Linked DNA regions of Pelodiscus sinensis. The protein of the gene in region 1 purifies or fractionates together with the protein of each later gene. This does not show direct contact. Links are inferred from orthologs where the notes say so. Each region holds a gene or a part of one and is shown on either strand. Other genes may lie near its edges.

Evidence for each region.
Region 2: the proteins of NFKBIA (region 1) and RELB purify together in Homo sapiens (affinity purification with mass spectrometry; 4 studies listed by BioGRID and IntAct, counting the BioPlex papers as one, with this or other methods). This does not show direct contact. The link is inferred for Pelodiscus sinensis from reciprocal best matches to the Homo sapiens genes NFKBIA and RELB.
Region 3: the proteins of NFKBIA (region 1) and NFKB2 purify together in Homo sapiens (affinity purification with mass spectrometry; 6 studies listed by BioGRID and IntAct, counting the BioPlex papers as one, with this or other methods). This does not show direct contact. The link is inferred for Pelodiscus sinensis from reciprocal best matches to the Homo sapiens genes NFKBIA and NFKB2.
Region 4: the proteins of NFKBIA (region 1) and beta-arrestin-1 purify together in Homo sapiens (affinity purification with western blotting; 3 studies listed by BioGRID and IntAct, with this or other methods). This does not show direct contact. The link is inferred for Pelodiscus sinensis from reciprocal best matches to the Homo sapiens genes NFKBIA and ARRB1.

The regions. Positions count from the first base shown.
Region 1 is NC_134714.1:48,030,176-48,037,239, reverse strand, and holds the start of NFKBIA (NF-kappa-B inhibitor alpha), read right to left. Parts: upstream 3,017-7,064; 5' UTR 2,875-3,016; coding exon 2,618-2,874; intron 2,079-2,617; coding exon 1,970-2,078; intron 1,500-1,969; coding exon 1,289-1,499; intron 769-1,288; coding exon 680-768; intron 572-679; coding exon 311-571; intron 1-310. UniProt on the Homo sapiens protein: Inhibits the activity of dimeric NF-kappa-B/REL complexes by trapping REL (RELA/p65 and NFKB1/p50) dimers in the cytoplasm by masking their nuclear localization signals.
Region 2 is NC_134743.1:2,217,986-2,225,318, forward strand, and holds the start of RELB (transcription factor RelB), read left to right. Parts: upstream 1-4,330; 5' UTR 4,331-4,459; coding exon 4,460-4,514; exon of another isoform or gene 4,515-4,573; intron 4,574-4,730; exon of another isoform or gene 4,731-4,996; intron 4,997-5,074; coding exon 5,075-5,155; intron 5,156-6,786; coding exon 6,787-6,834; intron 6,835-7,333.
Region 3 is NC_134718.1:2,691,762-2,699,389, forward strand, and holds the start of NFKB2 (nuclear factor NF-kappa-B p100 subunit), read left to right. Parts: upstream 1-4,616; 5' UTR 4,617-4,625; coding exon 4,626-4,883; intron 4,884-5,754; coding exon 5,755-5,833; intron 5,834-6,189; coding exon of another isoform or gene 6,190-6,261; coding exon 6,262-6,302; intron 6,303-6,602; coding exon 6,603-6,701; intron 6,702-6,985; coding exon 6,986-7,137; intron 7,138-7,628. UniProt on the Homo sapiens protein: NF-kappa-B is a pleiotropic transcription factor present in almost all cell types and is the endpoint of a series of signal transduction events that are initiated by a vast array of stimuli related to many biological processes such as inflammation, immunity, differentiation, cell growth, tumorigenesis and apoptosis.
Region 4 is NC_134711.1:324,012,231-324,020,138, reverse strand, and holds the start of beta-arrestin-1, read left to right. Parts: upstream 1-4,908; 5' UTR 4,909-5,549; coding exon of another isoform or gene 5,550-5,569; intron 5,570-7,908. UniProt on the Homo sapiens protein: Functions in regulating agonist-mediated G-protein coupled receptor (GPCR) signaling by mediating both receptor desensitization and resensitization processes.

The DNA.
Region 1 (7,064 bases):
GGCTCCTCCTTGCGCAAGTGGTACACTGGGGTACACCAGCTTACTTTCACCTCTGGCTTTAGGTGTCCAATGCTTAGACCTTATATTGCACTCCTAATGCTTACTAATTTATATTTTTAGTTTATTTTGAGTGTGTAGATGAAATATATCTAATACAGTCAACAGGCCATCCAATATGCCATCAAAACATCAGGAAATAACACCTAAGAATTATGGGCACATTTCTCTGACAATTTTAATAGGAGCATATAGATGCTTATAAGGGCAAAATTTAGTCCTTCCTTATAAAAGGGTGAAAATAATTACTTACTTCATCCTCCATGAATTCTGATTCTGATTCACAGCTCTCCTCATCCTCACTTTCTGGTAGCATTTGTAGGTCAGCCATGGTTAAGTGCTTTAGCTGTTCCTGTATCCTGCAGCTCTCTCTTCCCCATGTCAGCTGGTATGGAGAATAGCCCTGGTAGGTCACTTTGTTCACATCAGCCCCATGTTTTACTAGAAGTGACACCAGTTCTGAATTCTGCAGATCTACAGCTAAGTGCAGGGCAGTTCTGCCATTACAAGGCTCCTGGTAAGTAAAAATAAAACAGGATAGTTAGGCTTGGCACTACAAAAACTGGATATTCCTATTCCAGCATTATCATGTTTGGATAAACAAAGAGCTTCAAATACACACCTGAGCATTGACATCTGCTCCCAAGGACAGCAAATATTCTACTATAGCCAGATACCCTTGAATAGATGCCAAATGGAGACACGTGTGTCCTGTAAAACAAGAACATAGGTACAAATTAAGTACTTCTACTTTAATGCATTATTAGTCACTTTCTAACACCCCTAACACACTATCATATTTTGAGTTTGAAATACAATCACCATTATCTAAACTGAATGTAAAATGTTCTACATGAACTTTTAAATTTCTCTAATCATCGTTGTACTGTGTCTAAGGCACCGTTATTTTTTAAACGCAGTGCCTTTTTTCCACCCAGTGGTACACCGGAACTTGTTTTAACAAAGTAGAAACAGAAACATGTAAAATGTCTACAATTTTAAAAAAATATCTAAACAGTGTTATCTAAAAATCAAAGTGTAAAGTTGAAGAGTGTGAAAACCAGAGTTAAGCACTTGCAGTCAAGGGAGCTGAGACTTATTCCGAGCTCCAGCACTGACTGCAGTGTGATTTCAGGGAAATCATTTTACAGCTAGGCCTCAGCCTCCCATCTTCATAAAACTCTGAAATTCATGTCACAAAAACACTAGCTGCTAAGAATTTCATGCATACCATTGTAGTTAGCTGACTGCAGGACTGAACATAGGTGGTGCTGCTGGCAGTATTGAGTAAGGACGCTGACAGCTCTGAGAGACCCCTGGTCACAGGCAATATGAAGTGGTGTGTTTCCTCGGAAATCTCTGATTTCTGGATCACAACCGGCCTTGAGAAGAGACTCAGCAATTTCAGCCTGCTCTGTGATTACTGCCAGGTGAAGTGGTGTCTATAATAAAAAAAGAAAACAAACTAGTATAAGGTACATGACAAACAGGAAATGTTAGAGACAGCAACTGAGTATATAACCCTTCAACCACTTGGTGATTCTAGCAGCTCTAGCTCGACTTCTTCAGTTCTCTTTTAATTTGGAAGTGACTGATTTAAAGCTCCCTTGACCGCAGAGGGCCAGTACAAATTAAGGGTGTATTTTTCATGGAAATAATGGATGAGTAGAACCCACTACAGCTTATCTAAAAGCAATCCATCGTTTCAAATGCCAGTGTCGTTTCAAATGTTGATTGTACACAAACAGAAGTTTATCTGTGGACAATGGCAATCTTGTGTCTTGGAGGGAGAGGGGCTCAGCTGATTAAATATCAACCGAATGTACAATTTTGCATGACACAGTTACTGAAATCACCAAGGGCGTCAGGCAACCTGGCTCGTTTAAGCAAGAAGGCAGATGGCTTAAAATACCTGGTTCAGGTTATTCTGAAAGTTCAGGAAGGCAGGATCACCAGCTGCCTGCCGAATGACTTCCACGCTCAAGGCCTTTTCTTCGTGAATAATTGCCAAGTGGAGAAATCTGCAAGAGGGGGGAAAAAAGAAACAACCCCTCAAAGTCGGTCCGGGAACGATGAGCCAGGGGAGGACGTGAGCTCACGGGATCAGCAGGCCAGCCCCGGGCAATGCCCCGGCAGTCACGTGCACAGGCTGCAGGCGGCTTTCGCAAGCCTGGGGTTTTCAGAGGCCGCGGCCTGGTGTTTTCCGCGGGGTTGTTATGAGCTGTGTTCCTGGCGGCGCGCCAGGGACTTTCCACCGCACCTTCCCCCTCCGCCCAGCCGGGCGCCGCGCCGGCCCCGCCCCGCCCCGCCAGCACACTCTGTACATCCCCTCCCGGCACGGCTGGCGGGCGGCCAGCGCTGGACTCCGCAGCCCTACGGCGCCTGGCGCTGCCCGCAGCGCCCCCCCGCCCCCCAGCAGGGCTCAGCTAGGTTCTGAGTAGAACCCACTATCGCTTATCTAAAAGCAATCGTCGTTTCAAATGCGCCCGCCCGCGGCCCCCGGGTCTCGCAGCGCCCCGCGCGGGGGTCTCCGTGCAGCCGGCGCAGGACACACACTTACGTGTCTCCCTCTTCGGTCACTTGCTGTTGCCAAGGCTGGGCCGGCGCGTGCGGCGCCCCCCGCTCCTCCTGGGGCTGGAGCCGGATGTCCCGCAGCTCCTTCACCAGCAGCGCGTACTCCTCCTCCTTCATGGAGTCCAGCCCGCTGTCGTGCCGGTCGTCCTGCAGCAAGCCGAGCTGCCGCTCCTTCTTCAGTGGCTCGCGGCTCTCCATCGCCAGCTCCCGCTGGCCATCCGCAATGCAGCTGGGGTGCAACATGGCTGGGCCGCCGCTAGCACAGGACGGGCAGGCGCAGCAATAGGTCCCCCCCTGTGGATCTTTCACCAAGCGGCTCCGGGCGTCAGAGTGAGAGCGGCGGCGCGCGGTGGCGCTGGATATACGCCCTCTGCTGAGGGGATTTCTGCGAGGGGGAGGAGCCGCTGGCTGGGAATTTCCAGGCCAGTCAAACAGCAAGAACTAGCCTGCGCCTGGCTGCGGGAGGCGTTACATAAAAGCCCAGGCGAGACTCGCAGCGAAGGAATCCCCATGACTGACCCGCCCCTCTTCGCTTTCCCCCACCCCCTTTTTCACAAGAGGGAAAGTACTTGGTACAGCTCTGTGACTAACCCCCTTCCCCAGGTACTTCCCTGCCGTGCCCCTGGAGTTGGCTTTTTCCCATCCTGGGGTTTCCCTTCCCCTGGTCTCCCTGGGACTCTGTACTCACAGGTTCTCCAAGGCTAAAACGGCACCACAGGGGAGATGCCAATGCCGTCACTCCTGCCACTGCCTGCCTGAGAGGCACACAAGCAGTGTCCCCCCTACTACCACTTGGAGTCATGAAGATGCCACTTTTTTGTGCAAAGACCAGGGTTGTCTTGGCCACATCACAGCTCCTGTGCTGCTTCTCTAAAAGCCCCTGGGGTTGCAGCTGGATGCTGTATTCCCACAGTGTCCCGCTGTGCTGTATTTCACACCAGCCCCCCATCTGTCAGTTTGCTAATTTTGTAATACCCTGTGGTGCAAGGCACTATTTAAATGTAAGAACTAGCATTGGTAGTCAATAGCAGCCACACTAAATACATCTTAAACCTCAGATGAGTTTGGAACTAACAACCTTTTAACTATTCAGAAGCCCCAATTTCCATAAATGTAGCCTCATAAAACGACTACTTTTAAGAGTAAAGCTTGCTCTGCATAGGGCTTTCTCCTGCTTCCATTGAAGTCAATGGTAAATCTCCCATTAACTTCTCCTGTGTAGGATCAAGCACATACAGCAGGTTTCCCTTCCCACTCCAACTGAGACAGTACCTATCAAAGATTAATTCACTTTTTTCCCCCTTCCCAAAATTTACATATTTAAGTTAACATTTTTTCTTCTCACCAGAAAAAGTTTCTCTTTTTGCCAATGGCATGCTGTTTATTGTTACCCATTATCTAGATATCCCTCTCTGATAATTCCTATTGGGTATGATGACATTCACTGATAAAGATCAAGTGAAATATTGAAAGCACCTAGATTGATTAAAAATACATCTAGGCCATCCTGTGGATTCTGCACGCTAACCTGGGGACTGGGATTCCTGCTGAATTTTACTTTTTCTTCTCAGACATTGGGGGATTTCCCATGAAGAATTTTTTTCCTGCAACCACACTGAGTAATAATGTCTGAGAAATTTTCTTGTCTTCCTCTTCTGGCAATGTAGCCATTGAGAGAAAAAAAGTTATGAGAAAATCCAAAGACAGAGGCAAAGGAGAAAGAGGGCAGATGGTCCAATTTTTTTCAGGCCAGCTGCAATATTTCTGGACTTTCTTATAAAAAGAAATAGGAATCATTGCTTGGAAAAACACAGTTGTGCCCTTTGAAAGAATTCATAAAAGCTCCACAATTATTTTTTTGAAAATTTCAGGGTCATGAAATTTTCATGCATTTTCCCCTTTTTGGTTAAAACATTTTCTTTCTAAGTGAAGTGTAATTTAACTAATCCATACCTTTCTCATTAACTGGAAGCCTATGCTGTACGAACAGTAAAGATTTTATTTATTGTTTGATTGATTGGTGGATACAGTTCTTGCCCTTGATACTGTGGCAATCAGAGGAATAAAATATCATAAGAATTCTGCAACAAATGCTTTATTGGGGCCAAATTGAAATTAAACTTTAAATCGGTGGGCTCTCCAATGCCTTCCATGCATTCAATGCTTGCAGTTGTCAGCAGTAAACACTGAGGATACGTCTACACAGCAGAGCTAAAGTCAAATCAAGCTATTCAACTTCAGCTACATCAATTGCATAGCTTAAGTCGAAATAGCATAACTTGACTCGAGGTGCTGTCTACACCTCAGGAAATCAAAGGAGGAACATTCTTCCTTTGACTTCCCTTACTTCTCATGAAATGAGGGTTACCATGAGTCAGAGTAAGAAGTCCTCCAGCTCGACATTATTTTGAAATAAAGGCTAGTAGTGTAGACGTGCACTGTGTTATTTCAGAAAAACATCAGTTATTCCAAAATAATGCTGCTGTGTGGACATAACCTGAGTTACTTTTAAAAATTACTCTCCCAACAGAAAGACTTTTTACAATGCACCAGCGTTTAGATTTACTCGCTATACGTTTCTGTTAGTGTAGTCAAAGTTAAAAAAATGTGGGTAGCACTGCAGCAAAAGGATGGAAGGTCACACCAGGGCCAACCCACTTCTTAACCAATGGGAATGCAAGTGCCAAGCTTTCACGGCCATTTCATTCCCTGAAAAACATACTCTTCAGCAAGCAGCAGTTTAGGTTTTGTAGACTATAGTACCTTAGGAGCACAGCATCACATTACTTAATCATAAAGACAAATCATATGAAGTCAGATGCTTTGATCTCCCCAAAACAGAGTAGCTTCTCTGATAACTTGATTCATTTGTCTCAGTGGTTTGACTGCTGTTACCCAAACTGCCTCTAGTTTTGATAGTAATCCTCAAGACTAGTGTCTGCCAAGTGAAGGTGGGTATGTTTACAGTGACCTCTACTGGGCCTTTATGGCATATTATTGCTCAGACCTAGATAAGGTTTGTTATGGCAGAGGAGAGAGGAATATGCAGTACATTATATAGTGATAGGGATCCACCATGGTCTTGCAGTTATATGGGAAGCTACCCAGGTAGTTGAAATATGGGAAACTTATTTCTTGAGGAGCAGGAAGTGCTCTAACTTGTACATCTACAGGATATATGGACCAGACAAGATGGTTGAAACATCAGTTACATTTTGCTACTAGTTTATGATTAAAAATTAAATGTATATGTAAACATTTATATCCTACACACTTTTTATATTATATCCTGACACAGATGCCAGGTCAGTCTTGATAAAACTCCCAGACAAAAGTCATTAGGAGCTAAGGTTATAAAAAAAGCATTTTTAAGGAGAAAATCAACCCTCAAGAATAGCAAAATTTTAAAACAACTAGACACTGGAAAATTATTTTATAGCCTGTTCATATAGGTCCATTCCAGCCCTCAGCACAGTCAGTGAAAAGATTCCCCCTTGACTTCAGTGGGAATTGTATGACTGAGTCCACACAATATTGTACATTTATTGAAGTTAGATTTGTTTATACTGAAAGAAATTGCAATGATTATTATTTATTCATTTATTATTGTAGCATTTCATCACAGACTCAGATCTCATTGTGCTAGGTGTGTACAAACATAGAACATAAAGATAGTCCCAGCCCCAAAGAATTTACAGTGAAAGTAAATGAAAAAAGACACAGGCAGATAGCGACATACAGTTGGACCTATATTTATAACTAGCCAATTAGCCCGTCATAAGACGGGATTTTCAGGTCTCTCCTCCACGTCGATCTTCTCTCCTGAGCCTCCAGTCTCCCTCTCTCTCTGTCTCTCTCCCCTCCTCCTGCCTCTCTCTCTGTCTCTCTCTTTCACTTCTTCTCCCCCTCCCGCCTCTCACTCGGTGGACCGCAAAGCCCAAATGGCCGTTTGGGCTACTTGCTCCCCATGCTGCATGGGGTGTGCGGAGCCCAAACAGTCGCTTGCGCTGCTTGCTCCCATGCGGTGGCCTGGCTGAGCAGTGCAGAAGTCAGCTGAGCACCACAGCGGGAGGCGAAAGGGGGTGGGGTGGTGACGTTCACGGCCAGAGGGCAGGGCCTGGAACCGCTGTCACACTGCACGTCCCTGCCCCGCTCCCCCTTCACCTCCCACCATGGCACTTGGTTGACTTCTGCGCCGCTTAGCTGGGCTGCTGCGGGGGAGCAAGTGGCGCAAGCGGCCATTTGGGCCCCACACTTCCCATGCAGCACGGGCTGCCCAGAGGGAACAGCCAGCATTTCAGGCAACAGCACCGTCCAGAGGGAACAGCTAGCATTTCAGGCAACAGCACTGTCCAGAGGGAACAGCCAGCATTTCGGTGTTACAGACACAGACACTGGGCTACTATATATATGATGAAGCAGGTTTCGTCTCT
Region 2 (7,333 bases), on another chromosome or scaffold:
GAAGGGGTTTAAAAGGATCTGACATCTCTCAGAAGAGATCTGAGCACTAGGCTACAGAGTCATTTTAACTCCTTCCCTGGCTCTTTGTGACTAGCCTGGTGCCTTATAGTGGAGGACCACCAATCTTAAGCTGTAAGTAGCCTTGTCTCTAAGCAATTTTCCCGGATTTGTCCCTTTCAGCAGTGCCCAAGAAACCACCTTTATTAGGAGGAGAAAGGGACAGGTGGGCCCTGGGTCGCTGGGCATCTGGGGGGACTAGCAGGTGGCCTGGTGCCCACAGTGGGACTCCATCCCTGCCACACTCACCAGCAGTGGTAGGGCAAGCAGAGCAGTGTGGCCCCAGCTTGATCTGCTCACCTGGCTGCATTGCTTGGGGAGGTGGGACTGCCCCGGCACTTGCTGTCAGAAAGTGGAGCAATGTGGCTGGGAGAGCCAAATGAACTAGAGCCACATTGCTCTGCTTGCCCTGCCGCAATTGCAGGGGGGGTTCAGAACCACAGCCCCACTAGTCCCCAGATCACATTGCTCAGGGAAGAGGAATAGACAAGTGGAGGTGTAACCCACACACCTAGGCTGTGTCTACACTGGGCCACTTATTCCGGAAAATCAGCCGCTTTTCCGGAATAAGCTGTGAGCTGTCTACACTGGCCCCTTGAATTTCCGGAAAAGCAGTGACGATTTACTGTAAGAAATCAGCTGCTTTTCCGGAAAAACTATGCTGCTCCCGCTCTGGCAAAAGTCCCTTTTCCAGAAAACTGTTCTGGAAAAGAGCCAGTGTAGACAGCACAGTAGTCTTTTCCGCAAAAAAGCCCTGATCGCGAAAATGGCGATCGGGGCTTTTTTCCGGAAAAGTGCATCTACATTGGCCACGGACGCTTTTCCGGAAAAAGGGCTTTTCCGGAAAAGCATCTTGCCAATGTAGACGCTCTTTTTCTGGAAATACTTATAACGGAAAACTGTTCCGTTTTAAGCATTTCCGGAAAATCATGCCAGTGTAGACGTAGCCTTAGGCTACATCTATACTGGCAGCTTCTTGTGGAGGAACAGCTGTTCTTCCACAAAAACTTGCCGGCTGTCTACACAGCATGAGCGTTCTTCCAGAAGTAAATTTACAGTATAATACTGTAAAACAGGGCTTCTTCCAGAAGAGTTATTCCTCTCCCCACGAGGAATAAGCCCTCTTGCGCAAGAGCTCTTCCAGAAGTGGCCAGTGTAGACAGGCAACATGAATTTCTTGCGCATGAAGCCACTATGGTTAAAATGGCCATCAGAGCTTTCTTGCGCAAGAGAACGTCTACACTGGAATGGATGCTCTTCCGCAAAAGAGTTCTTGCGCAAGAAGCTGCCAGTGTAGACGTAGCCAAGTTGTTCACTGTCCCATCCGGTGGCATCTAGACCACAGCAACCGATAAGAACAAGATACTTCTCCAACATGGGCTGAGAGTCAGCTGTCTTTTAGCTCAGAGGGCAGAGGCTCCTGTACAGTACTAAGTTTCAGAGGTCCTAGATTCAGATTTGCCTGGTGGTGGTTACAGAGGTAGAGCAAGGGTAGGAGAGGACAGGAAGAGACAGGACCTAGGCTGGAGAGGGGTGGCCTAGCCCTTCCGCAGCTGGGGAACGGGGGTCAAGTGACAAGTGGCCCTCCACATCCCCCTTTACCAGTCACCCCTGCCTGCCCAGTCACTGCAGCTATTCCTAAAGCAGTAGGGGTGTTTGGAACTGCTTCCAAGGCTACGTCTACACTGCAGGCTTTTTGCACAAGAAGGCTGTTCTTGCGCAAAAACTTGCAGAGCGACTACACTGCACGCACGTTCTTGTGCAAGTAAATTTACAGTACAGCATTGGAAAACAGGGCTTCTTCCGGAAGAGTTATTCCTCTCCCCACCAGGAATAAGCCCTCTTGAACAAGAGCTCTTCCACAAGAAGGTAGTGTAGACAGGCAACATGAATTTCTTGCACAAGAAACCCCTATGGCTAAAATGGCCATCAGAGCTTTCTTGCACAAGACAGCGTCCACACTGCCATCGACACTCTTGTGCAAAAGCACGTGGCAGCATGGACACGCTCTTGTGGAAGACCTTTTGCACAGTTCTTGCAGAAGAAGCCTGCAGTGTAGATGTAGCCCAGGAGAATACACCCAGGGCCCAGCACATCAACGGCAGATTTCCTCTGCCTTGTTACAGTGCAGTGCATGCAGCAACACACCTGCCGTACATTCCTGGCCCAATGTTCCCTGGGTTTCAGTGGGTTCCAGCTGGGGGGACATTCTGGGCAGGCATGAGATGCTGCCATTCTTAACTCTGCATTAATTAAGTTTGGGACAGTGAATTTTCAGAGGGGTTGAACACCCAGAGCTCTGGCCACCCGGTGGCTTCAGCTGCTCAACGCCTCCAAAAATCAGACCCAAGAGGTTTCAAGAGGGGCTCCTAAAACCCGAGATGCCAAATCCAGCACCACGTGTTGCCTAAGGAGGTGGAGCAGCCCAGTTGTGCTAATTGAAATCACATGAGCCACTCCTGGCCCTCCTCTCCCTCCATTTTGCACCTGCTCTTGTTTGAACAGAAATTAATTCCAGGGGGTTACATTAACTTTGTGATGCAGGTCAGACAGTGGATCCTTCCAGGCATAGACCCTAGTCCCATGTTGTGCCTTGTTCTGGGTGGTAATCAATGACTCTGGACTGGGACTGTGTCTTCTGTGTGCCCACCACTGTCTACCCCCATGTTCTCTAATGCTTTCATAGCATGGGCCATGTTTTTATCCAGTCTCCCAGGGGGCTGGCCCACCCTGCTATAGCCCATCCAGTGACTGTGTGTAGTTCGGGATTACTCTACCAGAAAAGGTGACAATGAGTCCTGTGGCACCTTATAGACTAACAATGTATTAGAGCATAAGCTTTCATGGGCAAAGACCCACTTCATCAGATGCATGTAGTGGAAATTTCCAGAGGCAGGTATATTCCGCTACTAGAAAAGGAATGATAGGCAAGGACCTGCATATTTTTAGCTTCTTTTAATGTAAGATTGTAGCAGCTGGAAACAAAAGAAGTTGTGGAAGAACTAGGGATGTCAACGTGTAGTCGACTACACAATTAACCGATAAGCCTGGACTTGGTTAATCCTATTAACTACGCGCGCGTGCACACACACACACACCCTTGCTACTTCTGTAGCAAGGGAAGTGGGAGAAGCTGCCACCTCCACCCTCGGGGACTATCAAATAATTGTGTAGCCGCTAAGCTTTGAATTATACGATCATTCAGTTAGTTGATATCTTAACATCCCTAGGAAGAATTACGTCACCTGCCACCTTCCCTGGCCCAACTGTGCCACCATGGATATCCTTAGGATTTAAGGGGCCTTACACAGTATTATGAAATTGGTGCCCCTATGCTCAATGGCAGCCAGGGCGGGGATGATATTTTAGAGTCATGATTTTATAATCTTCAGCAACACACCAATGAAATATTTGAAACTAACGTCATATACACTAATACAGTAAATTCAGAAACATCATGGACCTGGTGTTGGCAAATGCCCTTAAATAGCATCATTACCACTTGATTGGCTCTTTCACAGGCTTTGTGTCTGCTAAGGCAGGTTTTCCCACTTTTGAGTTAACTAGATACTCTCTGGAGGAAGCAGAGCCTTAGAGCAGGGATAGGGAGAAATGGCAGAGTGGACTCTAAGGCCCAGTGGTCCCCCAAGTTTTCCAGTGCCCTATGCAGCTGTGTATACGGGTAGGAATAGCACAGCGTGCCGCCCTCCACCTCCTCCCCTAGCTGAACCCTGCCACCAACTACCTCCCTTGGCTTAGCTGCAAGTGCTAAACTAACAACTTGCTCCTGTACAGGAATCAGGTACCTAGGTAAGCCAGTGAAAGGAGGGAGGCTGGGCTGGGCCCTTCCTTTAACACACCCAGGACAATGAGATCAGACCAGCACGGCAGGGACTGAGACACAAGGCTAGCTCTGGGTGCTCGCCCCCCTCCGCTGACCGACCCCTCCAGGTCCCGGCCCCACCTGTCTGTCCCTGCTGCCCAAGATGCGCTCTGCTTAGTAGCAGCTGAGCTGGAGTCTGGGGCAGAGCTCTGCGGTGCTGGGCCCTCCCCTGCCTCTGCAGGTGCCTGGGAGCCCCAGGACGATGCTGAGGCGGGAGGGCGACCCGAGCGTGACGGCCCCGGGGCCGGTCCCAGCCGGCGGGGTCACGGCAGGGCACCGGACGGCCCGCGGCGCCCCAGACTCGCTGGAGAGGGCCGCCCACGCTGCGCCCTGCGCTGGAGCCCCGCCCCCTTCCCAGCGCGGGGCTTTCCCGTTCCACGGCGGGTGAGCTCACTCGGGCCTGCAGCCAATGAGGCGGCGGCCGGCCGAGCTGGGGAATTCCAGAGCCGTCGCCTCCTCCGCGGACTGCGGCTTTGGGGGAGCCAGCCCAGCACGGGGAGCCGAGCGCCGGGCCCCGCCATGCGGGACACCAGGGGACGGCAGCCGCGGCCGGAGGAGCTGGCTCTCCCGCGGGGTGAGGGGGCGGCGCTGCGGCCGGGGGGCGCTCCGGGCCGCCTGCCAGCGGTGGGCAGGGTCAGTGAGGAGGCCCGGGGGGACCCGTTAGGCCTGGGGCAGTGGCCCTGTGGGAGCGAGCGGGCGGCCCGGGGCATGCGGAAGCCGCGGGGGCGGTGCCGGAGGCTGGCGCTTAAGACCGCGACGGTAACTTTGTGGTCCCGCGCCGCCTCTCTCGTGTGAGCCTCGGGAACCTACAATCGCAGCCCGGTGCCGCCAGGCTGGCTCGGCTCCTCCGCCTAGTGCCCTGGACCCGTCCCCGTCCCCGTCCCCGGGCGCTGCCTCTTTGCGTCGGTGCTTGGCTGGGACTTTGGGGAAGTCTCTCCTTGCTGTCCAACCGCGGGGAGGAAGAGTGTTGTCTCCTGGGCCAGGGACTTGTGGGACTCAAGTTTTCTGGGATCTCCTTGAGCACCTGGCTGAGCCACCTGCTGATTTCCCTGCCAGGTGCTGTCCTGAGATGCAAAGGGGGGCGGGGCACAAGGCAGGTGGCTGATGGGGTAACGGTGTATCCTGTCTTTTTAGGTGCTGCCGTTCCAGATCCGGGCCTGGCCATGGCACATACCACGCAGGTCTCCAGTAAGGGAGCTGTGATCTCAGCTGAAGGTAATTCCCTCCCCCTTATAGCTAATAACACTTCTGCCTTGGCTAGCGCTCTCCATGGTCCGAGAATGGTACAGAAATGAGAGAATGAATCTATCCACCATTGCCCCCACTTTACAGATGAGTAAACTGAGGGACAGAACGAGTTCAGGCCATGGGGGAGCGGATGGTAGAGTGAGTTAGTACCCAGGAGTCCAGGCTCCTGGACCTGTGCACATTTATGCCAGCTTTACAAACTCCCAATCCCATACCTGCACTCTCCTTCCACCTGGCCTCAATTGAGCCTATCTGTGGCTCCAGACAACTGATTCTGTGGGTGCTCTTCTGCCACAGGCCCCACCCTGATCTCCCAAGGGGACTTGTGGAAAACACACATTTCAGTCGGCCCTGCATTTCTATCCTGGTACCACTACAGTAGGGCTGTGCTTTCAGGATTGTCCCTTGTGCAGTGCACTGGCTAAAGGAGTAGTTCTGCAGCCCAGCATGGTAGCTTCCACCCCCTAGTCTTCTCCTCAGCACTTGCTGCTCTGCTCTCTGCCTGCTGGGGGAACAGGCAACTCTTGCTGACTAAAGGTTCAGTTTGCACCTGTGTAACCCACACACCTGCTGAGCATGGTGCTCTGTCCCATGGAGTGGCACTGAGACCACTTACAGAGAGAAAGAATGAGCTTGCTCTACAGCCTTAGCTGAGTTTTAGTTCCTGTGGTAGAGACTCATGCACTTAGCTTCAAAGGTCCCTGCTTTGGGCCCACTGGAGGGTGTCACACTTGCACTGCAGGCCCAGTGGTGCCAGCAGTCCCACAGGGTTCAAACTGCCATGTTGTTCCTATCTCTTAGGGATGTAAAAGAGTAGTCAAGTCATATTCCCTCCCCCCTTACTACTTCTGTATCAGAGGCAGCAAGTGTGTGTGTGTGTGTGTGTGTGTGTGTGTAAGGTGGGGAAGTAGGACCAGGTGCTGGGGAGAGCTGGCTTAAAAGCTGGCTACCCCCGGCACAGTCTCCCAGTGCGATTCTCTGCCTCCGTTAGAGATAGCAGCACAAGGGCTGCTGCTGGAGCAGCCTCCATCTGTGGGGGATCCCAGTGAGACTTAGGATCCCCCCCAGACAGGAGCTGCTTCACTGCAGCAGCTTGTTGGGGGGAGAGTGGGGGAACAGGGCAGGGGTGTCCCCACTCCCCACTAGGACTGCCCTGCGGATGGGGTGTCTAGACCCGGCACAAGCCAGGACTGCTCAGTTGTGGTTTGCGCTGAGACCCAGGACCTACCCCGCTGCAGCTCTGCATTTTAAACGTAACAGGAGCCAGTCTTCCTGCGTGCCCGGTTCCTATTACATTTCAATTGCAGAGCCGCAGCAGGGGTAGCTCCTGGAGCACTCTCCCATATCGACTAATCATGTAGTCGATACGAATTGTATCGACTACACAGTTAGCCAATTGCCTGCCTCTTAACATCCTTAATCTCCCTCATGCCACGTGAAGTAGGAGCAGCCACCGCTGTAGAGCTCACCACGGTATCTTCAGCTGAGTGGGTAGCCACTTTTACCTGGCCCCTCTGGCATGAGGGAGGGGCTGGTTTGAGACGTCAACATTTAAGCATCTGCATTAGAAAAGCTCATGCTTTCTTTTTCCTTTACAGATCAATTAGGTGAGTGGACAATGGGCAGTGGGGGTACAGTGACCTCAGGTACGTACAAGTGCTCTAGGCCGGTGGCAGGCATGTGGCCCATTGGGGTTCTAGGTGTGGCTCACAAGAAATTTTGTTTAGTGTTGCCCCCGGTTCTGCAGGTTTTCATCTGTGCAGTTTTTTCCTACTTGTATTACCCTAGTGACACGCACAAGCCAGGGCACATGAAGTGAGGTCCATGCTGAATGCACACAACACGGACTATAAACGAAGCATGCTCCCTCTGCATTTAAAGCGCTGCTACAGTTCCAGCAGCACCTTCTGCAAATTCTAGGTATGCCAGCACAGTTAGCGAAGCTACCCTATCCCGAGAGACCAGCTTGGTTACAACCATCTTGTGGCCCATTCACTAGCCTGGGTTGCCCATGGTTGCTCTGCAGTAAAGGGGAGAGGTAACATGCAAGCGTGGCAAGGCAAACCCTGCTATCATTCCCCTGCGCCCTCTCCTTGAAGCCCAATTCCAGGGCTTTAGCATTGGACCCAAAGAGCAGGTAAGGGA
Region 3 (7,628 bases), on another chromosome or scaffold:
GCCACTCAGGGGTTTTAGCACCGGCTCCCCACTGCTTCCCCCCCCAGGGGCAGCCGGCGCTCGGGGAGCGTGGTGGCTCGCTGACTCTCTGTGGGGCTGGAGCATGAATACCAGGGAAGCCCCAGGCCTTGGGGGCCAGATCAAGCCAAGCCACGGCCCGTAGGTTCCCCATCCCGGCTGTAAAGTGTCCCTAAGGGTATGTCCCAGGTTCACCCTGAAGATTCCCTCTGAAGTCCACCGGAGTCAGTGTCTGCCGGGAACCGCATGCCAGCTGGGGGAGTCCCTCTGTGCCGGCTGAGCGACAGGAGCTCTCCAGCTACCTTCCAGCCCTTCGCTCCCAGTGTCTGCGCAGGGCTGTGGCTTCCTGCCTGCAGCAAGCCCCTTGCTCGCCCAGGCCCAGCAGACGACGGGAGGCCGGTGCTTCCTAGAGGTGCTCCGAGTGGCGTTCAGCCTGGGCTCTGCTGCCTGGGGAGCCGACGGAAGCCCGTCCTGGCAGGCCAAGGGCTGGTTTGGCTGGAGCACAGGCAGTCGCCTTGGCTTCTCCCCAAGGAGAGCCTCTTGCAGTGAGCCGCAGGACGGCCCTGAGTCCGTGCTAGGCTAGCATGCTGGTCCAGGCTCCTGCAGCAGCTGCATCCTTTGGTCCTCGCACCCTGGTCCTGCAGGGAATGCTCCCAGGGAGCACACCTTGCGGAGGAGTGCAGAACAGGGAGCCTTCCCTGTCCCCTGGAAAACGCTGAGCACCGTTGTTCCGGGTGCCCAGGTGGGATCCTGCGGGGTCTGCCATGCTCCAGGACTTGCTGTTTGTCCTCCAAAGGGATCAGGCAATAACTGAGTCGAGGGTCAGCTTGGTGAACCTCCTGGGTAGATGGGGAGGTTACAAATACAGCAGGATGCTGGCAAATAAGAAATTAACTGAGCGCGACAAGCCGTCCAGGAAAGAGCAGTGGGGAGGAGGAGCTGGGTGCAGAGAGAGGAGAGGGTTCACCAGCTATAGCACAGGGTGGGTGCTCATGGGGCGTAGGCCTGCGTCCCCGGTCTCTGCGCCCCCGAAACACCGCGCTCTCACAGCAGACATCGTGTGCCCGGGCTGTGCTCCCCGCCCGCTGGGAGGAGGATCAGCTACGTGAGTCAGCATGTGGAGATGCTGCGGCAAAAATAGTACCTGTGATACTGGGTTGTATTGGTAGGCACGGCGAGCGTGAAATGTCAGCGGGCAGGTGGAAGGGGAGGTACCTACAGACAGTGTGTCTGGGGAACTGAGACCGGGGGCAGAAGATGGCCCATCAGGCACCGGCTGGAAAAGGATGCTGCTTAGGCTGTGTATCCTGCTATGGTTTTGTAGCCTCTTCTGTCCTGAAGGAATCCACGTGCTTACACAGGCTGCCTTGCTGAAATGCAGCTGCTTCTGGGGTGTAGCTCGGCTGCCCTGCACTTGCTTTCTCTGGAATAGCAGGTCTCAGTCTCTGGCATGTCTTCCTGGGCCCAAGGGATCTAGCCGAGCCTGAAGGGCCAGAGGAGACAGGCAACAGCTCAGCTCTCCTGGCACAGTGCAACTCTGTGCGGGAGCCAGGCTTTTCCAGAGACTGTGGAACAAACTCCCTCAGGCACTAAGGCCCATCCCAGACCCCGGTGTGCTGCTTTGCTCCCCTGCTCTAACATGGGAGTAGACGATGAGAAAATGTTCCAGAAGAACACTCTACGGGCACAGCCGCATGCCAGGCGTCCATCCTGGCCCTGGCTGCATTGCTAGGAGACTCTCTGTGGATTAAAACACCGGCTGGGGGAAATCCATTTCGCCCAAGGACATCGGGGCCTCCCACCCATGATCCTTCATGTCAACGCCAGGCTGCCTGGTCCCAAAGGCTCTGTGTTACGATGGGCTGGCCTGGATCTACCTTGTGCCCAAGGCGAGGGGCTAGGATATGCCGCCCGTGCTCTGTGGCCTTTGTGAGCTGCCGTGCGGCAGTGGTGGAGTCCCAGGGTTGCTTTGTGATGGGGTCTGCCAGGAGCCAAATAGCCCTGGTCCTCCTCAGAGTCCTCCTCGCATCCCCAGGGGTTCCTCCCGGGCGCCCCTCCCCGCTCACAGCATCTCTTCCTAGTGTCTCCGTGCCGGCAAGGTGGCTGGTTGGCAGAGCACGTAGTCCCGCTGCCCCCGGCCACGCATGCAGGGCAGCCCCTGGCTAGACTTTGAGCGGAGGGAAAATCTCCTTGAGAATTTTTTCCTCCCTTTGACTTCTGCAGAAAATGAGTCACTGCCTGTGCAATCCCCGTCCTACCCCTCGCTCTCCCCCACGCACCCAAAATCCCCACGGTGGGGCCTGCCGGCAGCCAGTGATTCATGGTGTGAGAGTGCCGAAGAGTGGGAACCGGGCCGCTGCCGCGGCCGGGGGAGAAGCCAATCTGGACAGGGACCGGGGGCTGCGCTGAGGTCCTGCCCTACCAGGTCCTGCCATTCGCAGCCCGGGGACAGGACTGGAGCCCTGTGGCTGGCAGGGGCTGAACGGGCCGTGGAGGCCCAGCCTGGGGAGGGGAGAGTCACTGGCACCAGCTGCCGCATCAGTCCGAGGCTTAGATCCAGGGCCTCAGTCCCTGTGCGCCAAGGCTGGCCTGGAGGCGACCTGTTCGGAGTCTCTCCCCTCCAGCTGCCCTGTTCTGTGGCCAGGGGGCTGGGTGCCTCACTGGGCAACCCCCATTCTGCTGCCATCTCTGGGGCGAGGTGGAAAGTGCTGCTCTCAGCCGGGCGGGCAGGGAGGGTCTGTGCCTGGTCCCGGGGGAGGGAGTGGCTGGCATTGGGGGGTATCGCTCGGCCCCCCGGGAATGGGGAGAGATGAGCAGGACCTGCCTTGGAAGAGGACTGGGGCTGAGGGACGGTCTCCGTGCTTGGGGGGCAGAGGATGGGGCCGTGGGCAGGTGGCCATGGAGCAAGGCTGCTTTTCTGTGCCCCTTAGCTCTGAGCACAGAGGATGTTGTATTATGCGAAGCAGCAGGCTTGGGGGTGGAGGAGGGGGCTGGGATGCTCTGGCTCAGAGGCAGTTGCATATACACACAGCAGGTCTAGCCGTCTGGTGTTGCGTTACCTCGCCAAGGTTTCTGTGTCCTTGGAGGAGCATCAGAAGGGGTTAATCCCTGTTGCCTTTCATAGCCAAGGATCCCTAAACACTTGGCCTCTGAAATGCGGCCACCTCTGGGGTGGAGCCAGAGGCCCACCTGCTGGAACGCCGCATGCCAGCAGGAGGGAGGCCGGGGCAAACCCATGACGCTAGAGGCTGGACCGTGGAATCTCCGGCCCAGCCTGGTGCTGGAATAGCGACTCAGAGCAGAAGCGAGAGTCGGCAGTGGGGAAAGCAAGCGGCCTGCCGGAGTTTCCGGCCCAGGGCAGGGCCAACCCCAGCTCTGCCTCTCCGCTGCGCCCTCCTAGTGACTGACTGATTGTGAATCTCTGGGCCTGGAGGTGAAAACTCCCTCTGTGTTTCAGAAGGGCAGGAAATGATTTGCATAGCTCGCCTAGCCCCGCCCCGGGGTCACCCACAGCCAGCCCTGGCATTGCTGGGAGTCGGCTGTGCTTCTGGCTGAGGGGCTTGTGGGGCTCCCAGCCTGGCAGTGACAAGGGAGGGTCCATGCATGGGGGGATGTGCGCAGAGAAGTCGGTATTCCGCACCGGCCTGCGGCTAAGGTAGGGGGGCACCAGGCGGGCAGGGGAGTCGGTGTGTGAACCGCGGGGTGAGTGGGGGGGGCTTGGCGAAGGGTGCGCTGGGGCCAGGGGGCTTGTGTGTTGCAGGGTCAGTGTGTCTGCTGTAGGGCAGCTGGGGGTGTAGGAAGGCTGGGGGCAGTGGGGGGGCTTTTCTGGCTATGGAGGGGAGTGAGTGGAGTGCTGCGGGGTGCCCGCAAATCAGGCAGCGGGGTGCCGGGGAGAGCGGTGCTATGGGGCAGGATGGGCAGGAGGGGTCTGGGGGGAGCGGTGCTATGGGGCAGGATGGGCAGGAGGGGTCTGGGGGGAGCAGTGCTATGGGGCAGGATGGGCAGGAGGGGTCTGGGGGGAGCGGTGCTATGGGGCAGGATGGGCAGGAGGGGTCTGGGGGGGGCGGTGCTATGGGGCAGGATGGGCGGGCGGATCCGGGGGGGCGGTGCTATGGGGTAGGATGGGCGGGGGAATCCTGGGGGGGCGCTGCTATGGGGCAGGATGGGTGGGGGAATCCTGGGGGAGCGGTGCTATGGGGCAGGATGGGCGGGGGGGCGGTGCTATGGGGCAGGATGGACGGGGGGATCCGTGGGGGCGGTGCTATGGGGCAGGATGGGCGGAGGGATCCGGGGGGGGGGGCGGTGCTATGGGGCAGGATGGGCGGGGGGGCGGTGCTATGGGGCAGGAGAGGTCTGGGGGGGGCGGTGCTATGGGGCAGGATGGACGGGGGGATCCGGGGGGGCGGTGCTATGGGGCAGGATGGGCGGGGGGATCGGGGGGGCGGTGCTATGGGGCAGGATGGGCGGGGGGATCGGGGGGGCGGTGCTATGGGGCAGGATGGGCGGGGGGATCGGGGGGGCGGTGCTATGGGGCAGGATGGACGGGGGGATCCGGGGGGGCGGTGCTATGGGGCAGGATGGGCGGGGGGATCCGGGGGGGCGGTGCTATGGGGCAGGATGGGCGGGGGGATCGGGGGGGCGGTGCAGGGCGCCGGGGTCAGGCCAGGTGGCGGCGGGGGGCGGGGCCAGGCGGCGGGGGCGGGGCCGGGGGCGGGGCCAGTGACGCGCGGGCCCGTCATTTCCAGCCCCGGGCTGGGTTTCTAGGGACTTTCCGGGCGGCCCGGCCCCAACTTTCCTCCCCCCCCAGGCCCGGCCCCGCCCCCGCCGCGCAGCCCGGCCCCGCCATGGACGAGCCCTACAACGCGGTGAGACCCGGCGGGGGGGCCGGTGGGTGCGGGGCTCGGGCCCCCCCTCGCTGTGCCGGGCGGGGGGAAGGATGGGGGGGGCCGGTGGGTGCGGGGCTCGGGCCCCCCCTCGCTGTGCCGGGCGGGGGAAGGATGGGGGGGCCGGTCGGTGCGGGGCTCGGGCCCCCCCTCGCTGTGCTGGGCGGGGGAAGGATGGGGGGGGCCGGTGGGTGCGGGGCTCGGGCCCCCCCTCGCGGTGCCGGGCGGGGGGAAGGATGGGGGGCCCGGTCGGTGTGGGGCTCGGGCCCCCCCTCGCTGTGCCGGGCGGGGGGAAGGATGGGGGGCCCGGTCGGTGCGGGGCTCGGGCCCCCCCTCGCTGTGCCGGGCGGGGGGAAGGATGGGGGGCCCGGTCGGTGTGGGGCTCGGGCCCCCCCTCGCTGTGCCGGGCGGGGGGAAGGATGGGGGGCCCGGTCGGTGTGGGGCTCGGGCCCCCCCTCGCTGTGCCGGGCGGGGGGAAGGATGGGGGGGCCGGTCGGTGCGGGGCTCGGGACCCCTCGCTGTGCTGGGCGGGGGAAGGATGGGGGGGCTGGTCGGTGCGGGGCTCGGGCCCCCCCTCGCTGTGCCGGGCGGGGGGAAGGATGGGGGGGCCGGTCGGTGCGGGGCTCGGGCCCCCCCTCGCTGTGCTGGGCGGGGGAAGGATGGGGGGCGGTCGGTGTGGGGCTCGGGACCCCCCTCGCTGTGCCGGGCGGGGGAAGGGATCGGGGGGCCGGTCGGTGCGGGGCTCGGGCCCCCCCTCGCTGTGCTGGGCGGGGGAAGGATGGGGGGCGGTCGGTGTGGGGCTCGGGACCCCTCGCTGTGCCGGGCGGGGTGTCAGGCTCCCCCTGTCCCGCAGTGCCTGGACGGGATGGACTACGACGACTTCCAGTTCAGCTCCCGCCTGATGGAGCAGAAGGAGCCGCTGATGGAGACGGGTGAGGGTCTGGCTGCGCGGGGGGGGGGTCAGGGAGCTGCCTGGCTCCAGGCCGAGGGGAATTCCCAGGCAGGCCCGGATCCCGGGAGTGAGAATTCCCGCTCAGCCGTGGGGAGCCTGGCTGGGCTGGTGATCAGTCCGCAGGGCCTGTCCCGCCCATTGGATCGCAGGGCTCCGGTGAGTGGGGGGGCCTGATCCATCTCCTTCCGCCTCAGCCCCCCCCCGTGCTGCTTCCCGGAGCACGCTCACCCCAGGGGCACTGTGGGGCCCCTCCCTGGCTCTGCTGCAGGGGGAGCGTGATCTGACTTCACCTCCAGCACTGACCCTGCCTCCTCCTCTCTCCTCTGCCCCCGTCAGCGGGTTTCCAGCCGTCGGCCCCGCGTGCAGGTGGGCGCGCTTCACTCGGTGTCTTTCCTTTCTCCTCCGCAGCCGAAGGGCCCTATCTCATCATCATCGAGCAGCCCAAGCAGGTGAGGACTCTGCGGGTAGCCGCCCCGCCCCCCCGCAGCTCCCGCCCCGCCCCCCCGCAGCTCCTGCCCCGCCCCCCGCACACGGCTGCTCCCGCCCCGCTCGTGGCTGCTCCCGCCCCGCAGCTCCCGCCTGCCAAAGCTGGGGTGACAGTAGCTGTAAGGTCCCCTGGCCAAGGCTCTCAACCTGTGCCCCCCGCAGTAGGGAAGGGGCGTAGGCGGTCGGTGTGGGCCTTTTTCCCAGTGGGGTGGGGCCCGGGGCCCTGGCTCTACCAGGCTGTGACTGGGGTTCTGGTTTGGCAGCGTGGGTTCCGGTTCCGGTACGGCTGTGAAGGCCCCTCGCACGGCGGGCTGCCTGGCGCATCCAGCGAGAAGGGACGCAAGACTTACCCTACTGTCAAGGTGAGTGCCAGGCAAGCTGTGCGGCGCGGCGCTGAGGTCCGGGGGTTCCCCGCAGCACCCCGTGTGCCCATGCAGGGAGACTGCTCCGGGGCCGGAGGTGGGAGGTGAACCTCCAGGGAAAGAAAGCTGGGATAAGACTGGCCCCTGTGCTGAGGGGCTTGCGAGGGTTTGGGGAGAAGGGGAATGCGACCCCGGGGGAGCCAGCAGTACAGGTTGCAGGCCCGTGCCCTCCCTCCTCTCCCCCGCAGCCAGGGAGGGCCGCTCACTCCCCCTTCTCCCGCCAGATCTGCAACTACAGTGGCGTGGCGCGCATTGAGGTGGATCTGGTGACGCACAGCGACCCGCCGCGGGTGCACGCCCACAGCCTGGTGGGGAAGCAGTGCAACGAGGCTGGGAATTGCATCGTGACCGTGGGCCCCAAGGACATGACGGCACAGTACGGACCGGGGGCTGGGGCAGGCCTGTGTGGGTACCGGGCGGTGGCCGGGTCGCTGTCGCGTCAGTTACACTGGTGCTGGGCAGGCACAGCTGCTGCCCTCAGCAAGCCCCTGCCGAGATCCCTCTGGCTGGTAGCTGGGCATCCTCTGCGGGGACAGACACGTATTCCCGGGGCTTCTCTTCTCCACCTCGGCCCCAGGAGCCCCCTTCCCAATGCCTCACCCGCACGGAACGGGCGCATCCGCTGACGGGCGTGGGAGACTCCCTGGCAAGCCTGTGCTCTTGCCGGGGCAGGCTGTAGCGCCGGGGGGGCCTGGAACGGGTGAGCTAATGTGCGAGAACCCCCCAGGGCGCTGCTCCTGGGAGAGCAGCAGGCGAACCCCGGGGGGCTCGTGGCTCTCCTGTACCGCGGGACGGGGCTGTGGGGGGCTCTCCTGGTCTCTTGCCCTAGTCGCGTGGTTGGCGACAGGCTGCCTGTCTGAGCCTGCG
Region 4 (7,908 bases), on another chromosome or scaffold:
ATATGCATAGATATTAAAAGTTTCTAGAAAGGGGGGTAAGTGGCTTGGGTGAAGAGCTTATGACGCAACGGAACTATCTTTATAAGCCTACCTGTCACTAGAATCGGGGCTGCTTCTCTTTGGAGACGGGCCGCTCTCTATTGTTGTGTGCACTCTTCAATAAAGAGCTTGTGATTGGACTTTGCTGGTGTTGCCTGTCTCTTTGCGGTCAGACAACGAACCGAGTCATCTGGGCTAGAGTCCCTGACATCGGTAACTGGAAAAACTTAAAAAACGATCATCTAGCAGCACCTTAAAAAGACTAACAAAACATGTAGACGGTATCATGAGCTTTTGTGGGTACAACCCACTTCTTCAGATGACTGGAGTATTAAAAGCCCAGATCCAAGAATAAATAAGGGAAGGCGGAGGGACAGGAAGGCGGAGGGAAAAAGGGGAAAAAAAGAGAAAATAAAGTAGTGAATTAGATCAAGTTACAAGAGGCTAATTGCTCTTATCAGCCTCGTGTAACTTGAACAATCTAATTCACTACTTTTTTTTATTTATTTTTCTTTCTCCTCCTCCTTTTCCTCCACCCTCCCTCTCACCGCCCCCCCCCCCCCCCCCCCCCCCCCCCCCCCCCCCCCCCCCACACACACACCTTCCCTTTTTTATTCTTGGATCTGGACTTTTAATACTCCAGCCATCTGAAGAAGTGGGTTGAACCCACGAAAGCTCAGATGCCAGCTACATGTTTTGTTAGTCTTTTTAAGGTGCTGCTAGACTATTCGTTGTTTTAGGAGAGTAAGTTTCCTTTTTTTCTGCAGCACAGTAGTAAAGGGAGGAAAAGGGCCCAAATAAAGGAGCATTTGAAAACTTGGAGTTGGGGGGGAGAGCTGCCGCCAAGGCATTTACATTTTGGCTTTGGCCTACGTAAGACATGAAGACCCCGTGTAAAGACACAATGGCCATTTCAAACCTAAGCTCTACATGCTCTAGAAGAGCTTGGCTCTAGAACCAAGCTCTGGGGCCTGAGCCACAAGCTCGCATGTGCAAACGCTCCATGATGCAGGTTGCTAAGGCTACGGGGTGATGGAGCAGGCCTGGGCCTTGGCAGCTGCAGAGCTTGCTCCACCAGCTGGAGGACTTGCTGAGGAGGGGATGGGTCAGGCTGAGGCAGCAAGGAGAGGCTGTCAGCGGATAGGAAGCCAGTCAATAGCTTCTGGGAGAGAGGAATCCCATGGAGGCCCTGGATTGTGGGTGTGTCCAGACCATGGGCCCACGGGTGTGATTCCTTTTCTGGGGCGACATGTAGGGGGGCATGAGGGTCATGTGCCCCAAAGCTATGGGTGCGAGAGACAAGGAGCTGGTCAGCACTTGAGGCAGAGCAGCAGGGGGCCTGTTCCTGGAGCAGGGCTCTGCCCTCACCCCCGGACTCAATGGCAGTAGGGGGAAGTGGAGCAAAGTGGACCTAGCTCGCTCTGCTCCTCCAGTTGTCCATCAGAGAGGGACGAGACGGCCCCCGCGCTCGCTCTTGGGAAGAGGCAACGTGGCCGGAGGAGCACAGCGAGCCGGGGCCATATTGCTCCACTTCCCCCAGTGCGGGGGGGGGGGGAGAACCCTGCTGCTGGCGTTGCCCCCAGCCAAGCTATTCCCCCAGAGCCGCCTCGACTGAAGGAAGAGGTGGGGCGGAGGCAGAGCAAAGGCCAGGAAGAGGCAGGGAGAGGGTGGAGCAAGAGTCAGAAGGGGGTGAAGCTTGGGTGAGGAGAGGCAGGGCTTGGAACAATGGGGGGTTGTCCCAGTCCTTCCCCAGGCTGCGGGGGGAGGTGTCACATGAACAGTGGACCCTGGATTCCCCTTCACTGCTCGCCCCGTCTTTTTCCCCTCCCATTCCCCCTGACAAAGGGGAATCGTTGGGCGCTGGGGTGGGGGCGGGGAAGCTGTTTTTCTGAGTGGCTGAGACAGCTTCAGCAGCCCTCCATGAGTGTCTGACCATGCCCCAAAATGAGGGGAGACAAGGAGAGGTAGGAAGTGACCAAGGGGAGGCTGGTCTGTGAGACCCTCCTTCCACCTTGGGTGCTGGGCTGGGACCTATTGGAGAGGGAGGGCCAAGGTCTCCCTCCGGCCTTTGTCTGACCGGGGGAACCTGGAGAAGGACAGACTGTAACTTGGCCACCAGCCCCTCGGATTGCCTGATAAGCCCACCCCAGGATTTGGGGGACTGCTGAGCCCTGGCCGGCCCACTAGGCCTGCTGGTCCCTAAGTGAACCCTGCCCTATCCTTATCTGGAGCGAGATGGCTTCCAGGGCTTCGTGATTGGTTTAATGTTGTTGGGCATCTGCTGCCTTGTGAACCCACACACGGTGGCATTGGGGTCAGTGGAGGGACCCTGTTGAGTGGAGAAGTTGAGGCCCTGTTTGCATTCTGGAAGTGACCTCAGGCAGGTCGTTCGGGGCCTGGGCGCTTTTGAGGTCTAGTGCTATTCTAGGCAGTCCAGTGGGGTGAGAACGTGTGACTGTGCAGACAAGCTCAGCAAACTGTTAGCAGGTTTCGCATCAAAGGGTTTTAGTTGTTGCTGGGCTCTGGGTCTAAGGACAAAGACCTGAATTTGTCCCTCCTACACACAGTGTCAGAGCTCCTTCTGCATGGCGTGGGATTTGACCATCTATTTGTGCATGAGAGCCAGGAGCAGGGCTCCATCTCCCATCATGCATCAGGGCCAGGGACTCCCATGATGCAGTGCCAAGAAGAGAGACTGAGGTGCACCATGGGAAATGTAGTCTGACCTAGGAAACTGAACTATGGGGGTTTCCCAGCCTAAAATGCCTTGGTACTAAAGTTGGGGCAGAAAATACAAATCTTCTGTGGGAAGAGAACCCCAATCTCCTGGAGCCGAGGAGAGTAAAGCTCAGGAGATCTGAATAGCTTCATCATCTGCCTCAGAAATGGAAATTGCCTCCTGCTGTCTCCTGCCTAGGGGAAGGATCAAGTGCCCCTTCCACCCCCAAACCCTCTGATTTTAGCTAACCACTTAGTTACACAAATAGGCCTTTATTCACCGGAGAGCAGCCCTTCATGCTGTACTAGCAGTTTTCATACCACACGCACACGCACAGTGGCGTGCCTCTGCTCTCTTCTTCTTGAAGTGAGCGCTAGAACGCCAGTGACATCACCAGAGAGAATCCAGAGGGGACAAACGGCACAAGCAATGAGATTTTCAAGTACACAGAATTACGCAATGGAGACAATCTCTAAGGCATCGTCCCCTGCTTCCTTCACCCTAGCTGGTGCTTCACGGTGGAGAAGTTTGTGTGAGGTGCATGTCCTGAAATAAATGGCAGCCTGTCTCCTCCATTCTTCTTCTTCGTTTCTCTAGCCCTTTCACTCTGCACATCATAGAGGGCGACCAGGAGTTGTGGATCCCATCCTCTGCCACAGCCTCCTTGTGTGACCTTTGTCAAGTCACTGGCTCTCTGCACCTGGGGTCGCCAGCTACACAATGAGGACATTTCCTTCCTGCTGCCCTTTTGGGTTGTCAGTTCTCAGTGGAAAGGGACAATGTATTTGTGTGAGCCCAGAGGTATCTTGTTCTGAGCGACTATAATCCCAGGTGATGGATACAGGGAGCTCATTTTTGCATCTCTTGAGGCAGCCATCTGATTTGAAGACAACCTGGATGCGGTAAGTGGGGACACGGAGCATCTTCTCCCTCTCTCTGTCTCTCTCTGGCCAGTTCTTGTTGCTGTGCTCAGGGTCTCATTTGTAGCCCTGGGTGGGGTCTGGAAGGAACATGGCCACAGATCTTTGGGGTGTTTTTTTTTCTCATTCCTCTGCAGCTTGTGGGAGCAGGTCACCCGCTACATCACCTGGGTAAATCTCAGTGAGTCATTTCCCCACCACTGCAGGGTGCTTGGGCTTTGGTGTCTTGTGTTCTCTGCCTGCGGCATGGCCCAGTCTCCTGTGGGCTGCAGTCCCTTTGTCTGATGTGGGTGGCTACTGGGCGGCGATACACAGAAGGTCGGACTGGGTGGCTTAGTGGTTCCCCCTCCTCTTTTCCACTGACTCGCAAAGGCATACTGAGCTTGTTCTGGTCAGAAGTGGGCCATCGTGCATCACTGCAGTTTGGAGCTTATCTAACGGACTCATGTGGCTGCATCCACACTCACCAGTCCGTGCTCCCCCCTCGGCCTCCCCAGACCACGAAACAGCTGGGCGTAGTCAGTGAACAAACTGACACCATGGCCGGCTGCTCTCACTGGAAGGGGACGTGACAGGAGTACATTCCAGTGTGGCTCCAGGGAATCTCTGTGCTGCAGCCGAACTAGACCTCAGTGCTGGTTACTGTTAGAATCATAGAATCATAGGACTTGGAAGAGACCTCAGATGGTCATCAAGTCCAGCTTCCTGCCCAAAGCAGGACCAATCCCAACTCAATCAACCCAGCCAGAGATTTGTCAAGCCGGGACTTAAAAACCTCTCGGGATGGAGATTCCACCCCCTCGGGATTCCATCCCAGTGCTTCCCCACCCTCCTAGGGAAATAGTTTCCCCCAATATCCAACCTAGATCTCCCCCACTGAACTTCGCTAAGCACTGAGAGGCCGTGTTCTGCGCTGTCCATGATCCACTCCAGAGGTGGCTGCATTTCAGCTGCAGGGGAGCAATTCCAGTCCCTCTTGTCTGTGAAGCCCTTGCATGCATTGTGCTGGAGGGGTTAATAAGAGGCGGATGGGGGGGCAGTGCAGGGGTGAGACCGGCTGTACGTTGTCCTGCAAGCCAAGCCAATGGCCTGGGATGGTTTCTGCCCAAATCCAGCTGTTTGGCACCAGGAAGAGAAGGGTCACAGAGCGTTTCCAGGAAACGCAAACTCCCCTGCCTGGAGAGCTGCGGCATGGCCAGCTCCCCTGCGTGCACACACTCCGCGGTTCACAGGCCACGGGCAGAGCCAGCCCCCTGCTCTCACGCAGCTCTGGGCAGCCGGAGGGAGATGATGCTGATGCTGATTTCCTGAGCCTGTTACCACACGGGCTGCAGCAGCTGTGCGCGGCTCAGTCCTGAGCTGTGCACGCCTGGAGTAGGAGGCGGTGTTGCTCGGAGCCCGGCGAGGGTGGATCTCTCTCCACGGAGGCAGGAGGGGAAGCTGTCAATGGGAGAGATGGAGCAGCCGTGTCTGCGAGCTACAACCCTCTAAGGGATCCTCTGCGTGTGTGTGTGTGTGTCTCCCTGTGCCTGGGATTTGCGCCTGTGCCCTTCATCTCATGGCTGCGTTGACATCCGTGCACCACCGCTGGGTTTATTCCAGGCTGTGATCTCTACGCACAAAAGCACTTCAGGGCCGGACGGCCACACGCCCAGCAGTCTTGTTGTTATTAAGACACGGAGCCAGGCGACAGCCCGGTGGAGCTCTCTGCATCGTCTGCAGCCGGGGTCTGCGCGCTGGTGCGGTGAGAGCGCGAGTAAGCAATTCCTGCCAGGAGACGACCGCTTCCTCTGGCTCCACATTAACAGCTAGTAATTTTCCACGCCTCTCTGATCCTTCCCTGGCAAGTGGCTGGAAGGGTGGCCTGGGCCATGGGAGACAAAGGAACCAGGTGGGTGAATGTATTTTTTTTTACATGCGGGTTATTCAGCTGCAGACGGTGATGCTTGCGCGTGTGTTATTCGCCTGTTTCCTGGACTGTAGCTGCCCCGGCAGATCCGCCTGCTGGATCCCGGCGTTTTCCCATGTACCGGGAGATGTTTGGGTTTGGAGGGTGAGGGGACTTGTTTTGTGAGCAGAGCAGCAAGGCGGCGTGTGGCGCTGAACGGCCCAGCAGAGCGAACGCAGACTCCAAGCCGTCCGCTCTCGACCGAATGCCCATGAATAGCCCATTTCCAGGGCTCCTCTAGCATCTGCCGCTCACCAGCGTGTGTCGCTTTGTTCGGCCGGAGCGCCGCAGCTCCAGCCTTTGGCAGATGCTACAAGGCGGGCTTGAAAACCCGGACTTTCCCCAGGCGGCGGAAGGGGGGTTTCTCCCTGGCCTGATCCCCCCCAAGAAGCGTTGGCTGGAGAGGCGGCCTTTTTGCAGGGCGCCCGGGTTGCTCGCGGGGGTTGTGGACGCGCTGGGTCGGTGGCGGGGTGGTCCCGTGGCTGGGGGGCGAGCGGCATTTTCGCTTTGCCTGGACCCGCTCCAGGGCAGCGTGGGCTGCTGAGGGCTCCTGCTGTGCCTCGGTTTCCTTTCGGAGCCAAGCCCCCGCCGGCGGGTAGCCCAGGGGAGCAGGGCGGGCTTCCCGTTGGGTCAGGGGTCGCGCAGCTGCTGGCTAGGGGCTGTGGAAATCGGTTCCGTGAATCACCCGCTTGGCTTGGCCGGGACCCGAAGCAAAGAGGATCCAGGGCTGGTGCCGGGCCACGTTTAGATCCCACGAAATGGCCCAGTTACCGCGGGCAGATGCGCACGGCGGGGTCCCTGCAATTGTCTGGGGCGAAGGCTGGGCGACTGCAGGGCGTGGAGAGGGGCTTTGCCGTCTCCTCTGGGGGGGCTCAGGGCTGCACCGTAGCAGGGTCCCTTCAGGGCAGGGGGGTTAGTGGGAGTGTTAGCTCGCCCCACTCCCAGTTCATGTGAGACGCAGCCTGGCCCGCTGGGCAGAGCAGGGGCGAGCGATGACTCTCCTACAGTAGCATGTGCAGCATTCGCTGGCCTGGCAGTCTCTGTCCGGCGCTGCCCCCCAGGAGGCGAGTACTACTCCTTCGCAAGTGGGGAAACTGAGGCACGGCCGTGCAGTGACTTGCTGCCCGGCGAGTCAGCGCTTTGGTTAGCACGCAGGAGGCCTGGCGCTCAGTCCTGAGCTGAGGGCTTGGCTGGCCAAGCCTCACTCTCGGAGGGGCAGCTCAGATCTCCTCCAGCCCTAGGTTCTGAGTTTTGGGGAGGAGGGGGGAGGTTCCTATTGCAGGGGAGGGATGTGAGCTTTGGGCCCTGCAGTGGGTGTGTGGAGAGTCTCGCAGGGACAGTTATCAGCCCCGGGAAACTCGGACTGCTCTGCTGCTCCCCACTCCATCCCCGAGGCTCCTGGGTGCGGGTGTCAACATCCCCTCCCAGAGCTGGCCCCCCTCCTCCTCCTCAAGCAAGGATGGTCTGATGGCTAGGACGATGGTGTAGGAGTTAGGAGCTGTTAGTTCAATTCATGGCTTTACGGCAGACTCCCTATGTGACTTTGGGTACTGCCCACTCTGTGCCTCAGTTTCCCCACATGCAAAATGTAGATAAGAATCCTCCCTCCCCCCACCCTTGTCTATATACATGGTGAGCTCTATAATAAGGACTGCCTCTTACTATGTGTGTATACAATGGGGTCCTCACCCCTGAGTGCATAGGTTTTAGGAGCTAGGGCAACCAGAAAATGTGGGTACTCTTTCCCTCAGTGGATCATTCTAAATACATACAGTTTGATTCACCCATAGCTAAAAGGCCTTTTATTTATATCTGAAATGCAGCCACTTCTGGGTTGGGATGTGGCAGCTGATTAACAGCTCACAACAACACTGCCCAGCAGTGTGGGAAAAGAAGAAAACTATCAAATCTTGTGAAAGAGGGCCCTTGGATCAGGCGGACACCCCCTCAAGCCAGGTTGGGAGCATGGGTTGAGCACAGACTCAGGAGGGAGAGAGGAGCAGCACTGTGCTCTGATAATGGAGAAGTGAACTGTAAAACATGCATGGCTCTCTCCTCTGGTGACTGTCCCAAAGACAGGAGAAGGGTCTGAATAGCTTAAAAATCTGGCCCTGCTACCATCATCAGCTACGCAAACTAGACGCACTTTGTGGCACACTGCATAGGCATGCTTGTTGGGGTTTTTAATGGATTTATTCTTTGGATTTTTGTTGCTAACTCTCCCTCAAATTTATTTTCACAATTTCTAACCCCGGGCCCGCCTGTCTTGGGAGTGCAGCTCA